Tamandua tetradactyla: one gene and its partner. The protein of the gene in region 1 interacts with the protein of each later gene in a biochemical or structural test. Links are inferred from orthologs where the notes say so. Each region holds a gene or a part of one and is shown on either strand. Other genes may lie near its edges.

Region 1 (7,034 bases):
TTTTGTCCGAGAGGCACGGGGAAAGCACCAGCCGCAGCAGACGCGGCGGGACGCGGGAAAACGCAGTGAGGGCGGGAGACCGAGGTGCCTCGAGAGCCCAGGGCGGAAGCACCAGCGTCCTGGGAGAGACAGGCGGCCCCGCGGGATTTGTTCCCCAGGGGCAGGGCGGCCGGGGTGGAAGGGGCAGCGCCAAGGCGTGGGAGGGAACACCTAGTTCTGCGGGGAGAGGAGTTTGGAGAGGCTGGGGTCCCACTGTGGGGTGTAAGGGTGCACGGCCCTCCGCGACCATTTCCCGCGGCAAGGCGTGGCGGATTCGAAGACACCAGCTAAGCGCATCCGCGGAGCTGGTTATTCGTGTCATTCCCGTTTGGGCCGGTAGGGTAGGTAAGGTGCACAGGGCCGCTGGCCTTGTGAATTGGGGCCAATCCCCCCAGTCTGATCCTGAACCCCACCCCTGGGGAGCCACATATGGAGGCCGATGGGAGTGCTTGGGTGGCCCCTGGGGCTGGTGCAGTCCCCAGGCAGGCCCTGGACTTGTGTTGAGAACAGGGCTGGAGGAGGACTTGATTTCCAAGGACAGGAGGGGGGTGGGGAGAGGAAGAGACAGGAGGAGTGCAGCCTGCAAGCACCCTTCCCTGACCCTGGAGGAAGGGGTGCCAGGAGGAGGGAGAGGGGAGGTGTGCAGGGGGCTACTCAGGGGCCTGGTACTTGGGGGTCCTGGGGCACTTGGAGGTCTTGGGGCCTGCCTAGCTAATAGATCCCACCATCTTTAGGGAGGGAAGGTCACAAACTGCAATGAAAAGTAATTTGTGGTTTATCCAAATTCAAATTCCACCAGGCACCCTGGGTTTCTGTTTGTTAAATCTGGCAGCTGCAGCTTGGGCCCCTGGAACCACTCCCTTTGCAGCCAGCTGAGGGACAGCAGAGCCCTGGTTCTGTCCGGGTGGGGAGCCCAGCTCTCCCCCTTCCATCTGAATGATTACCCCCCACCTCCACCCCACAGGAATAGCTGAGTTCCAGGAATTCTGAGCACAGGTGCCCCTGAGGTCTGCCTCTGACCCCTTCCCAGCCTGGGCTGCGACCCTTAACCCTGCCGGGCCTTAATCTCCTAATCCGTGAAACGGGAGCAAGGGTGGTCTTTGTTCAAGAGGTTCCAGAATGCCCCTCCCGGGCTCTGCTCATATGTCCCCTTGGGAGAATGACTTTTCCTTAACTCTGCAGCCGCTCTCCCCAGCCTGCGTCTCCCCACCTTCCGCTCATGGGCCTCCGCCTTCTAGTGCGTCACAGTATCTGTCAGTCCTTGCTCTTTCTTCTCTCCCCTGCCCTGCCCCCCATCTCCCTGTGGAAGGAAGGGCCTGGATTTTGTTCACTGTCGCATCCTTGGTGCTTAAAAAGTCGGCCCGGTACTAGTGGGTCTCACCAATACCTGCTGAGTGGATGTACAGTGGTGCTTTCTGTTACTGGTGTCTGTGTGTCCTGCTGCCCTCCATGGCAGCCCAGCCATCAGGAGCTGTACCCCCAGGCCCTGGGCCCTAAGAGGCTGGGAGGCCACGTTGGGGCCCCGGCTGACAACTCCTTGATGCAGCTGAAGAGGCCCTGGGGCACAGAAAAGGGACAAGGGGACCCAGGCTTGGCAGGGGTTGTGGATGTGGAGCGGAGCGGAATCGACAGGTCTGGAAGCTGCCGCAGGAGCCTGGCCATGGGCCTGGGCGGCGGGCACTCCTGGGGATGGGGGTGGGGTCTGCCTCCCAAGCCTGAAGGAAGGGCCGTCCAAGGCCACGTGGTCTGTGAACCTTGGGGGACCCCTTCTCCAGACCAGTGTGGAAGCAGTGGCAGAGCCACCAGCATGGGCCAGTGTGAGCAGAGCCTCCCTAAACGTGTCCGCAGGCCACCATCTGGCCTGGGGGCTGCCCTGAGGCCCCGCCCTGCAGCTGCTGCCAAGAATATGTAGTCCTGTCCCAGGGCAGCGGGCAGCAGCTGCGGGAGGCGACAGGGCAGGAGACCCATGCACCGCCCTCGGGATGGGGTGGGGGAGTAGGCAGCAGTTTTTGTTGAAAACACCTGGCCAAGGAGGGCTCTGGTGGTCCCAGCAATGTGGACCCTCTCCTTATGACAGTCTGGGGAGGGGCAGGGCAGAGGGGTGTCTTTGAGGAGGGGCGTCTGCCTTTTCTCTGGGAGGCCAGAAGGGATGGGTGTGAGGCTTGATGGGTACAGGGTTCAGGGAGAGCAATGAGCAAGTTGGCCAGTGAAACCAACAGTGAAACCTCTGGCCCGGATGCCATTTCCCAGGCAGGCAGGGAAGGTGGCCTGGGCAGTCACAGTCTCTGCCATGAGAGGGCGCCCTCCAGGCCCGCGAGTGGCCACTCAGCCTCCCATCCCCAGGCCCCTGTCCCCAGCCTCCCGGCTGACCCCTCAGCTTTTTTCCCCCAACCGGCAAGGATGGGGCGGTGGGGGGGGGGCATCTAGTGTACTGCAGGAGGGGACGAGGAAGAGCCTCCTTGGAACTGGAGAGCAGTGGACAGGTGCGACCAGTGAGTAAGGGATAGAAGACACAGAAGCAGGACACCCAGGCTGTGGGGGGCAAGCCTCAGGGCAGAGACGGGCCCAGCTTCTGACCTGACCTCTGACTTGACCTCTGACCTGACCTCTGACCTAGATGGCCCCTCCTGGGCCTACACAGCCGGAGCTGGGCCAGCTGTGCTGGGGAGAGGGGATGGGGGAGTGGAAGTGAGCATAGGTGTCAGATGAGACTCCAGGACCCAGAGGATGTTCCCTGCCTGCCCCAGTCCCTCCGTAGTTAGCCCCCAGAGGCAAGGCCAGAGCCCCGGAAGCTGGTCCACGGTGAGCCTCTGGCCCAGACTGCCTGCCTCACCTCACCCCCCATCCCCACCAACTGAACTCTGACCCCAGATGAAAAACAAAAATGACCCGCACCCATCCCCAAATACTTACCAACCTCATTGGGTGACTCAGCTGGAGCCCTCCTTTTACCAAAGATTATCACCAGCCCAGAGGCTCGGGGTGTGTGTGTGTGTGGGGGTGGGGGGTGTTGGTCAACTGTTGGAGAGACTTCAGCTCAGGGAGGTATTGGGGCTGGCCACTACCCTCAGTGCCCTGCAGGTAGAGGGGGCTTCACTCCCACCCTCAGAATCCCACTTGGAGTCCCTGCCTCCGGCCAGCCCCCAGTTGCCCTTCAGTGGACTTGGGATGCCTGGAGCCCCCCTGGGGCTCAGCAGGGTCCTGCACTGTCTCAGGAGTCTACTCTTGAGTCTGCTGTAGCCCCCAACCCCAAAACACCCAGGACCCCAGTCCCTCTGGCTATCTGCACCCAGCTCCGATCCAGGCACGGCCAGGAGGTGTGTGGGGGAGAATGCAGCCCCCTTCCTAAGCCCCCTTTGCTTCCAGCCCTTCTCTAGGGGACCAGGGCTCCCCTCCCAGGGCCCTTCAGTTCTAGATGAAGGGGTTCAGCCCCTGGCTGTAGGAACTGCATGCCAGCTTTGGAGGGCCCCCTCCACTTGGCCTCTGGCCCCCAGGCCCCCAGCACCCTGCCTGGAGCAGGCACAGAATGAAAGTGAGACTACTCTCTGCCTGCCTGTCCTCACAGGGTCAGAGCAGCTTTGGCATTACAAACGGGGAAACTGAGGTTGGAGAGTCTGCGGCTTGTGGCCCGGCTGTGCGGTCCCCGCGGCGGGGCCAGCCGGGTGCCCACCGGGCGCTGCCGCCCTCCCTGGGGCCGGCGGGGGCGGCGGAGGCGGATGTGGGCGGGCGGCTCCGGGAGGCGGGAGGCGGGCGGCGGGCGGCGGGAGGCGGGCGGAGGGCGGGGAGGCCGCGGCGGGAGGAGCGAGGCGGGGGCGGCCGGCCCAGCGCAGCCAGCGCAGCCCCGAGCGGCCGGAGCCGGCGGCGAGCACCGAGGCCCGGGCGGCGGCGGCGGCGGCGGCGAGGCCCGGCCCGAGGCAGCGCGCCCCCCGCCCGCCCGCCGCGGCCTCCCCGCCCGCACCGCCAAGCGCCGGGCCCGAGCGCGGCCGGGGATGCGGAGCGGCGGGCGCCGGAGGCTCCGGCCCGGCTAGGCCCGCGCTCGCTGGACGCGGCACCCGGTGAGTCCCCTCGGCGCGGGCGGGGCCCGGATGTCCCGCGCGGGCCGGGCGCTTTGTTCCCGGGCGGGCGCGGGCCGCGGCGCAGCCGGAATGGAGGCCCCGAGCAGGAAGTGGCCGAGCGGCGCCGGGCGGGAGGGCGCGGGGAGGGCGCGGGCGGCCGGGGCTGCGGGCCCCGCCGGCCTGCCTCTCCCCCGTGACCTTGGGGGGCGGCTCTGCGGGGCAGCCTGGAGCCGGGGCCGGGCGCTGCCTGGGGGCCTGGGGGGCCGTGGCACCAGCGGGACGCCTGGCCGGCAAGGCGGGTCCCGGCGGTACTGGGGCAGCGTGAGGAGAAAGCTTGGATCGAGCCCGCGTTCAAGTTTGCCAGTGGGGACGAGACCTCATTTCCCCCCAGCCCCGAAGTTGTAGCCGGTGGCCCGATGCCCAGGCTAGCCCACCAGGGATACTGCTACCCCCCATCCCCATGCCAGTTCCCTTCCCGTGGCTGGGGCCTTTCCTCCAGGGCCCCCAACTGCTTCCTGCTGTAGTGGGCTCTGGGGGTGCTGCCTACCCATCGCTGATGCTGGAGCCTGGAGGACACTGTGGCTTTGACCTAGACTGAGGGGTCCTGGGGCAGTCGATGACTCTCCCCAGCCAGAACGGTCCTGAATACTGTCCTGGTGGGCAGACGCAGGGGCCCGAAGTGGCCCCCACATTCACTCCTGGGCTCCCAGCTTGCTCCAGAAGGAGCTGCTCTTCTCTAAGGGAGCTTCGTTCCTGCCCCCCAGCTGAACACCCATTTCCACTGTGTCTCAGGGCAGAGGAAGGTGGCTGTGACAGAGCCTGGAGTGTAAGAGGAAAGCTGTGACAGCCATAATGCCCGGGAAGTTGGGGTGTTCTGCTGCCCTGCGGCTGCCTAGCTTGTACAGCTGTGCACATGCCACCCTGAGTGCACGCACAGGGGCTGGTGGGCTCTCGGCAGCTGCCCAGCTCCGTCGGTACCAGTCCTGGAGCATGTCTGCTGGAGTCCTACAGCCTGGGGCTGGGGTTGGGGGTATTGGGAGGTGAGTCCAGTCCCCTGCCTCTGGGCAGTACCCCTCAAATCTCAGCAGAGCACCCTCTGTGCTCACTGTGCTGTGACTCAGAGCACTTTTCTTGGTACCAGTGTCCTACAGTCTCACTGCCCATGGCCTGCCAAGTGTGTTGGGCCCGGCCCTCTTGGGGGTCTGGTGTTGGAGATGGGCTGTGGCCCTCCCTGCTGCTTTAGATGGGTCCCAGGGGAGAGTTTCTTCCAAGCCTGCCCTCAGGAGTGCCCATCTAGAGGGGTAGCAGAGGACTGCCCAGAGGAAGAGCATGCCAAGTGCTCTTTCCCAGAATGCCCAGAGCCGGTGACATGGAATCTGGGTTTTGAGGGATGCCTAGGAGTCCATCCAGCAGGGGAGTGGTGGAGAAGGCCACGCAAAATCCATGGCCAGCGTGTCTGCTTGAGTGAGAGCTGGCTGGTGGGCTGCCGTGGGGCAGGCGCCAGTGCTCTGCCGTTTGTACTGTGCCCCCCTCCCCTTTTGTTGCCTCTGAATGCTGTGATTATGGGTCTGTAACCATCCTGGACTGGGTGCCCCTCACTGACAGGACCAGTCTGAACCTCTGTTTGTCCTTCAGTCCCAGCACTGGACCTGGCAAAACCAGAGTTGCCTGGCACACATGGGCCGAATGAATGAACCAGATTCAGACTGGCAGGGGCTGTGGTTTAGGAGGGGCCTGGGGGTTTCCGTGGCGAGGTTTTTCACGCCGCCCTGGACAACTCTGGGCTCTCATTTGCTCCAGCTGCCTGTGCTCCCAACTCAGTCCTCTTCATGTTTGAGCTTCTCTCCTTCCCCAGTCTGGGGCTCAGGGCGGCGGTGCCCCAGCCTGGGCCGGGATTCCCAGCCTCCGGGTAGAAGCAGCCCGGGCAAGGAGAACTAACGGGCACCCGTGGCCAAGGCGTTGGGGAGGCAGGCTGGGGCAGCCTGGACGCTGGGGCTGGCAGGTTCGGGAGGCTGGGATGGGCTGGGAGGGTCCTCTGGGGACGGGGACCAGGGAAGGAGGGGATGGGCAAGGCCCACAGGGGCGTGGCTGAGGACCCGAAGTCTGGGGGTTGGGGGAGGGAAGCTAAAGGGGCTTGAAGCTCAGGCCAGGAGTGCCCAGCCCAGGGGGCAGGGGGCAGGGTCAGAGGGGAACATGAGGCTGGAGCAGGGCTTTGGGGAGAGAGAAAGTGGAGGGGAAGAGCTGGAAGGCTGTGCCGAAGCTGGGACCCTGAGGTGAGCTGGGCGCAGGATGTGGTTGCAGGGACAGAGGGGCTGGCCTGAATGCAGGACATACCCTCACCCACTCTCTGCTTCCCCCAGCGTGAGGGCAGGCCTGCTGGGCTCTGGAGACCTGGTCCTAGAAGGAGCCTGAGGGTGACGTCTGGCCACAGCGGCTGCAGAGCTGGGCACCATGAGTGACGTAGCCATCGTGAAGGAGGGCTGGCTCCACAAGCGAGGTCAGTGCATGCGGGCGCGGACGCCGCGGGGGGCTCCTGGGTCTGCAAGCCTGAGCGGAGCCACCAGGCGGGCTGCCTTCTGAGGCTTCTGGCCTGGCTGGGGTGAGCATCTAGGGCCCCACATCCCCTCGTGGCGTTGGGGTCACAGCCTCGAGGGGCGCCTGGTTTGAGGGACTGAGGGGCCAAGGCTCAGCCTACAGACTGGCCAGCAGAGAGGCCGCCTAGCTGGTGTGGGTGGGTGGGTTGGAGGAGCGGCTGCCAGCCTCCCGCCCGGCTTTCCTGGAAGGCAGCGAGGACAGTGAGGCGTTCCAAGGCCTGGCACACTGCAGCCTGGGGCACGGCCCAAGGGCTCCTGAGGGCAGGCAGGGCTGCTTGGCTTGGCCCGGTGCCTGCCTTGGGTCTGAGCTGGCGGTGGGCAGCCGCAGCAACCCTGGGACCCGGGT
Region 2 (7,731 bases), on another chromosome or scaffold:
CGATCTTCGTCTCAGGCAGGGCCCAGAAAGCAGATCACAAGAGAGGGGACTTAATTAAAGATTCAGTCAATTCCCAGCAGTAAAGCACAGGAAATATTTAGTTCCAAAGGAGCCACTCTTCAGTACTGAAAGAGTAAAGTTTTGGTTGACTTGCATTTTAGAACTGGATTTTCTTTTCTTTAAAGCTAAAATTCTTACAGAAATTTCTCCCTTTTATGAGTCTCAGAGTTGCTCAGATCTGAGAGTGAAACCTGGTTTTAACAAGTAACTCATTTATATGAAAACCCAACCCAGTGGACTAGTTAAGAGTTAGAACAATTTAGGTTATTTTTTTCTTTTAAAAATGCCCTTTTACTCAAACTGAAAATCACTTGCAGAAATCTGACTTGCACCAACTCTGGCTACACCTGAAAACTTGACTCATTTGAAAATGATCAGCCACCACCTCCCAAAGCCCCCAGCCTCCCTCTGGGCTCTGCCACTGGGCTTCACATGCTGGAGAGAGAATTCTTTGCTCCACAACGTGGCTCCCAGCTCCAGTAAAAAAAAGGTAAGATAAAATTAGAATTGCATTTGAAAACAACATGAGAAGATCAGTAAAGAACAAATAAAAACTGTTGGGAGGTCAGGATGGCCCTCAAATGTCGGATTTAGGATTAAAAAAAAAACCTAAATCTTAAACGTTACATTCCAAATTTATCCAGAACTAATACCTCTAGAGAGGCAAAACACTGCCTTTCTCTATCTTTAAAGAAAGGCCCTCTAGCAAGCAAGCTAAAGGAGGTTGTATCCACCTCCAAGGTGGGTGGTGAAGCACACACTGTACTGTGAATACCAGGGAAAAAAGGTTTTTTAATTGGCAAATTTTTATAACAGCTCAAGTAGGATCAATAGGTGAGCAAGTAATTCAAGTACTTAAATTCAAACGTTAGGCTGGATTTTTTTTTACAGAGGATCCCGATTTTGTGATTTATCAGAACAGGAGCCGACGGTAAGGAGGCATTTACCATCGGAACACTTGGTAAAAGGGCATGCAATGCTTAGCAATGGGGTTTGGGACTAGCGATACCTTTACTCTAAACCACACCTTGGGAAAAAATAAAATAAGTCCTGGCTCCTTCCCAGTGCGTTGCGAGCAGCCTGACCCTGACCCTGGCGCACGGGAGCGACAGGGACGGCGGCGTCTTTGAAACAACTTGGGTGCGAGCAGCGCACCGCAGACGCGCGTCCTCGGGCCAGTGAGGCCGACACCAGGGAGGAGGGGTCTGGCCCAGCCCGACGGCCTTATTTACATCAAGCCCTCCACCTGGGACGCCGACAAACCGTCAGCCTCCATCCACACGGGCCCGCAGGAAATCCGCCCCGGAGCCCCCGGCTCGGAACTGCCCAGAGGGCCCCGGGGGCACTCCCGCGGCGCAAGCCTCCACCACCCCGGACGCGGGTCGCAAAGCCCCTCAGGCCCTGCCCCTGGATCCTGACTCCGCGCTCGCTGCCACAGCGGCGGCCTGCCGGGGCGAGGGAGTGCGGCCCCGGCCCCGGGCACCCTGGCCGCCCGGCGGGGCCCTCCGTGCTTAATTACAACCCTCGGACGTGGGCCAGGCCCTTTCGGGAACGATGCCCTGGTGGGAAGGGCCGGCCCCGCGCCCCGCCTGCCCGGGCACCTAGCCGCGCGCGGCCGGACGCGCTGGCCCTTTAAAGCCGCTCGTTTCCTGCGCCCGGGCCCTCGCGCCGCCAGCGCCCGCCCCCGCCGAGGGTCACACTTGAACTTCGGCTAGCCCCGCGCGGCCGCGCTCCCCGGCGGCGGCCGCCCCTCGGCACGTGGCGGAGGCGCTACCTGGGGCTTGGAGAGGCCCCTCCGAGAAATCAAAACAAAGCAGAATGCCCACGGCCTCCGGAAACCGCGCGCTGGCCCCACACCGACCCCGCCTGGCCCGGACCCCCGCCCGGCGCGGCGGAAACTGCTCCGCGGGACTGCCCCGAACCGCGGCTGGGGAGGCCGCCCTCACCCCGAACGCCGGGAGGGAAAGGCCAGCGGCTGGAGTCCGAGCGGGCCCTGGGCGCGCCGCGAAGTGGACCACTTCCCCGCGTCCGCTTCCCGGCGCACTTTTTCCACTCCCCTGCCCCCGGGCCAGCCCCTGCTCTCTCGTCCCCAACTCCCGCGCGCGCACCTACCCTGGCCCCGCGAGCCGCCCCCGGCCCGGCCAAGCCCGCCGCCCACCCCCAGCCCGACCTGCCCCCGTGCCGGCTCCTCCCAGGCTGGTTCAGCCGCGCGCCCGGGCCGCTCACCTTCCACCCCGCGGAGCTGTTGCTGTCGCCCTTGTCCTTGAAGTAGGGCACGCTCTTGACCATCCACTCGTAAATCTGAGACAGCGTGAGCCGTTTTTCCGCCGAGCTCTCGATGGCCTTGGTGATGAGGTCGGCGTAGGACAGGTTGCCCCACGCGTTGCGGCGGGAGGAGCTGCTTTTGCGCGGCTGCCCCGCGAGCGGCCCGGCAGCGGCTGGGGGCCCGGGCGGGGGCGGCAGTGGCCCGGGCGGGGGCGGCGGCGCCGGGCGCAGGCAGCTCGCCTCCGCGCCCTGGAAGTCCCCGCACAGCCCCCCGGGGCCCGCCGCCGAGCCGGGCGCCCGCGGGAAGTCCCCGCGCTCCTCCAACAGGCTCAGGCCGCGCATGAAGTCGGCGCTGGCCGCGGCCCCGGGCAGGCCGGACGCGGCGTCGGGGTTGGCGGCGCCCGACGGCGCGGGGCTCGAGGTGGCCGAGCTGCACTGGCCGAACTCCGGCCGCGGCAGCGGCCAAGTGCACGAGCGCGGCCGGGGCACCGGCTCGAAGTCCGGGTCGGTCTCCACCGCCGGCGGCGCTTCGGCCATGGTGACCCCCGCCCTCCCGGGCCGCGGTCGAGCGAGGAGGGGCGGCGAGCAGGAGCCGGGCCGAAGCCTAACGCAGACCCTGGCCCGCGGCTCCGGGGCCGCCGAGGCGCCGGTGCACTGCCCGCGGCCCGGCCCGCGCAGGAAGGTGGGCGCTTGCCGCTCCGCCGCGCTCCCGCCGCGCCGCTGCCGCCTGTTGAATGCGGCGACTCGGCGGCCCGGCGTCGGGCCCGCGCCCCCGCCCCGCTGCGCGCGCGCGCCCGGCCCGACTGACAGCACGCGCGGCCAATGGGCGCATGGCGCCGCCTCCCGGGCAGCCATTGGGCGAGGGCCGGGGCGGGGCCGGGGCGGGGCCCGGGCGGGCCACCTCCCCCGGGCGGGGGCGCGGGGTGTTTTTCTCGGCCCCCCGCTCCCTTCTGGGCTTCTGGCTTTTGAGAGCTGTTACGATTTTGTGGGTAATTCTCGAGACTTGCCGTGCGTCTCTATCCGTCTCGGTCTTCCGATTCCTGGGAGGCAAACCAGCGTGGCGGCGGCGTCGCTCTGCCGGCTGCGACTTGAGAAGCCTGGCGGGGGGCGCGGGGGCGGGGGCGGCGGCGGCCACACTGCCGGGCCCTCCAGCTCCACCGCAGCTCATCTGTCAAGTCGTTCGGCCCGCAGGGACTGCACGGTCTGCGCCCAGAGCCCCGAGCAGAGCCCACCTGTCCCCGCCCAGGGCCCCGAGCAGAGCCCACCTGTCCCCGCCCAGAGCCCCGAGCAGAGCCCATCTGTCCCCGCCCAGAGCCCACCTGCCTGCCCCCAGAGTCTCAAGGAGAGCCCACCTGTCCCCGCCCAGAGCCCTGACCAGAGCCCACCTGTCCCCGCCCAGAGCCCCGAGCAGAGCCCACCTGTCGCCGCCCAGAACACCGAGTAGAGCCCACCTGTCCCCGAGCAGAGCCCACCTGCCTGCCCCCAGAGTCTCAAGGAGAGCCCACCTGTCTCCTCCCAGAGCCCCGAGTAGAGCCCACCTGTCCGCCCCCAGAGCCCCGAACAGAGCCCATCCGTCCCGGCCCAGAGCCCCGAGCAGAGCCCACCTGTCCCTGAGCAGAGCCCTCCTGTCCGCCCCCAGAGCCTCAAGGAGAGCCCACCTGTCCCCGCCCAGAGCCCCGAGTAGAGCCCACCTGTCCGCCCCAAGAGCCTCGGGCAGAGCCTACTAATCCGCGCTCAGAGCAGAGCCCACCCCCTCCGCCCCAAGAACCCACCCGTTGGTGTCGGAGGAAAGACTGCAACTCGGTCGAACCCGGATCACTCCAACTTGACCTGAAGAACTGCAAAGGAGAAAGGGGGCTCGGCGCGCAGAGAGAGCTCAATTTCACGCACAAACAGATCCAAATGCACCTAGACCTATTACTCTCCGTGGGAACCTCTCTCTGGGTGGGCGAAGAGGTCAGAGGAGAGCATTTAGCAAGAAGCTTATTACTTTACTCCTGGCTCCCAATTAAATTCAGCTATTTGAACGTTCTTTTCTGTATGGAAATGAGGTGCTGAGGTGCACAGGAGCAGAGCACAAGGAGAGAGCGGGCCAACGCCGCAGGGCGCGGTCCTGCCCAGACCCGGCTTGGCTTAGGCCGCCGCAACCCGCAGCCCACGTTTCCCCAGCTGAGTTCCAGGGCCAGCACGTCCAGGTAGGAAGACAAAGGCCCCTGTGTCTCAGAGAGTAGGAGAAACAGTTTTCTCTTCAAGTTGTTTGTTTGTTTGCTTTGCTTTTTCTTTTTTAGGAAGAATATGGAAGACATTTCCTTTAGAGGGATGGGCTCACTTAGAATGGAAGATAGCAGAGTTAAAAATATCTTGTCCAAAATGCTATGTTTTTTTAAATCCCCTCTTTCTTATAGACAATTCCTAAATTGAAAAAGTGACCTGTAAAATCACACTGCATTTACAGAAATTGAAAGGATTTGGAGAGGCATAAGTGACGCTATTCCTTCCTTTATATTCTCACCTATCATCCCTGTAGTCCAAACCCTTTTATTTCTTCTTGATCCACTTACTAGGACATCTTGACTGTGGGCGGAGGTCAGCTGGCTGGAATGGGAATGGGGATGGGGTGGGGGCCTCCTCTTCTGTGCTCTTATACTCACTATTGAGTTTGACCAGTCACTAGGGGCCTCGTAACCCAGACAGTGGGGTCAAACCCAGGCAGGCTGGAGCTGCAGCCTGTCCTGCTTCGGGCAGCCCTGCTCAGCCCCCCTGCTGGAGAGCTGCCCTGGGGGATCCTTCTCTGCAGAGGAAGCCAGTGGCCATTGTGGCCTGCCTGGAAGGAGGGACTCTGCACTTTCCCCAGATCCTTGAAATCTGCTTGGCGGTCTTTCCTAATAATATTTTTTTCTTTAAATGTCCTAGGACATTTGGTCTTTTTGAAAAACTTGACTTGAAGCAGGCGCAGAGAACCTTCAAGAACCTATGTTCCAGAAACATAGTTCCAAAAAAAATAAAAATATATCTTAAAAGGTTTCATTCTTTTTTATAGCTGCCTCCTATTGTGGTATGTTTTGATATTCTGAGGCCCTTCTTGGTGAACTTGTTTCCAATCATTAGCTGTCACACAGGCCATAAGCCTCTTGTCCAACCGTAATTTGAATCTCTGCACAGAGAGCTGAGGACGGATCTTCCAAAGTGAGATTGCAGGACTGGCCGATAAATTTGGGAGGAATGCCGTAACCCTGCATCAGGATTGTATCAAGTTAAATTTTATTTTCTGATGGACTCATAATGTTAAGGTTGAAAGTAATCTTAGAGGTCATCTTGGTGGTCCCCCTTCATTTATAGATAGGGAAACCGAGGCACAGAGAGGCTAAATTATTTGAATTATTGATATAGATCACAATGAAAGAGCGGTGGTGCTGAGGCTAAAGCCCCACTTCCTGCTTTCCCGTCTCTATACACCAGATTCCTGTACTTCTGTACAAGGTGAGGGAATTTTTAAGTAATTCCTATTTTTCTTTCTTTCTTTTTTTTTTTTTTTTGCTTAATAGCAGTAACACATGCTGATTATAGCTGATTCAGAAAACTCCACATGCTGATTATAGCTGATTCAGAAAACTCCACAAAAGTATAAAGAAGAAAGGTATAAATATCCTATAATTCCAATTCAGAGATAACCATTGTCACTTTGTGGTATATTTCCTTCCAGTTAAACCACAGAATCTTAGTAATTTTGGCTACATGAACTCCACTGAACTGAATACAGGTTTGATTTAAAGATCAAGAAAGCAGACACAAAAACATGATAGTAAGATAATGAAAGAAAAAAGTTACAAAAGAGGTGTTTTTGTTTTTTAAGTGAAAAATGTAAACATTATCTCTCTCTACAAGAGACTGAAGTATTTAAGTTGCATTAATTCTGTTTAAGGACAAAAGAGTTTTCTCTGTCCGTATTTTTTGTGGTTGCTGTTGGCTTTGAAGGCTCTTCTCAATGATGATCACGTATTAGTGCATGTGGCCAAATTGGGAAGAAATACTTGGTGTCATGCAAGGGCAATTAAAATGAAACAGAAATTTACTCTCCCAAAGTTCACTTGAGCATCAAACGTGATGTCCTTTGCTGGGCCTGATTTTCAGGGTGACTTGTTGCATCATCTCTGCAGCAAGGCTGAGGGATCTGTCATTTTGATCAATTCCCAGATGGAAACTTCTGCATTCACTGCATCCCAATCTCTGGTTTAGATTCTTATTTGTCCAAATAAGTAATTTAGGTCCAATTTAATGAGTAAGTGAAAAGCTTGAATGCTTATTTTTCAGTCATGGCACTTAGCTTCCACATTTCCTTTCCCGAACTTGTCCATTTCCACTATATTTTTCTGAATTATTAGAGGATACTGTTACGAACCTAAAGAAGCCTCAGTTGGCCTATAGAAAGCAATAACCTGAACAAACACAGCCCGGGGGCCTGAAGCCAACACCCTGAAAGCTGGCTTACTGGCAGCTACAGGACTGTCAGCAGTAGGCATTCATTTTCTTGAGGGATTTTGGATTTTGTCATCAATTCCACCAAGATTTACAGGGCACTACTGTGTGCCAGCTGTTCAGGTGGTAAATTCCTCGGGTTCACAATGGTTTGTTTTCCTTGATGTCGGTGTTAAGAATACAGAGCTCTTTAATGATCAATAATGCATGTTGATTATTTATTTGAAGGAATGACACACAAAAACGTTTGATGGATATTAGGAATGAATGCTAAGGCAGAAAGGATCAAAACATTATCATAGTCACCATTTCAGAGAGAAATGAGATAAGGTGGAAAAGTCAAATTAACGTACCATCCACAGGCTTGGGGACATCAAGCCCTGGCAAAAGAGCTTCACGGTTGGAATGATCTTATTCCAAATGGACAAAAGTGGGCTATAAGAGAACAGGCTACAGGAGGGGTGGGGTGGGTGGAGATTGGGGAATTACTGCTTAATGGCTACAGAGTTTCTGTTTGAGGTGATCAAAAAGCTTGGTAAGGGATGGTGGTGTTGGTGGCACAACAGAGGGAATTTATGTCTATGTTGTATATATGTTAACATAATTTTTTTCAGTGGACTCTACAGAGACTGCATCAGATTGTTTGTCCATCACAGATAGACTCTGCCTGCCTACTACTCCTAACAGGGGGGAAAGTTACAAACCAGTTATCCGTTTTTGGTTCTGCTGCATGCAGCCACTGTTTGTCAGCTTCGATAAACTCTATTCCTTCACTTTGAATGTTGGTGAAAGACAGCTCATGGGTCCCTGCAGGAATATAAAAATGTATTTTTAGACAATCTAAATGACAGACATTAGAATGGGAATGGTTAAGTAAAACAAGAGCAGAGCTGTAAGGTAGGTTCTTGTGCAGCCACTTGAAGTTATTAA

Evidence for each region. The genes of interacting proteins can lie anywhere in the genome.
Region 2: of the proteins of AKT1 (region 1) and FOXO1, one has a biochemical effect on the other in vitro, tested with the Homo sapiens proteins (4 studies listed by BioGRID). The link is inferred for Tamandua tetradactyla from reciprocal best matches to the Homo sapiens genes AKT1 and FOXO1.

The regions. Positions count from the first base shown.
Region 1 is NC_135340.1:87,905,925-87,912,958, forward strand, and holds the start of AKT1 (RAC-alpha serine/threonine-protein kinase), read left to right. Parts: upstream 1-4,020; 5' UTR 4,021-4,094; intron 4,095-6,454; 5' UTR 6,455-6,545; coding exon 6,546-6,591; intron 6,592-7,034. UniProt on the Homo sapiens protein: AKT1 is one of 3 closely related serine/threonine-protein kinases (AKT1, AKT2 and AKT3) called the AKT kinase, and which regulate many processes including metabolism, proliferation, cell survival, growth and angiogenesis.
Region 2 is NC_135330.1:99,397,836-99,405,566, reverse strand, and holds the start of FOXO1 (forkhead box protein O1), read right to left. Parts: upstream 3,006-7,731; 5' UTR 2,863-3,005; coding exon 2,287-2,862; intron 1-2,286. UniProt on the Homo sapiens protein: Transcription factor that is the main target of insulin signaling and regulates metabolic homeostasis in response to oxidative stress.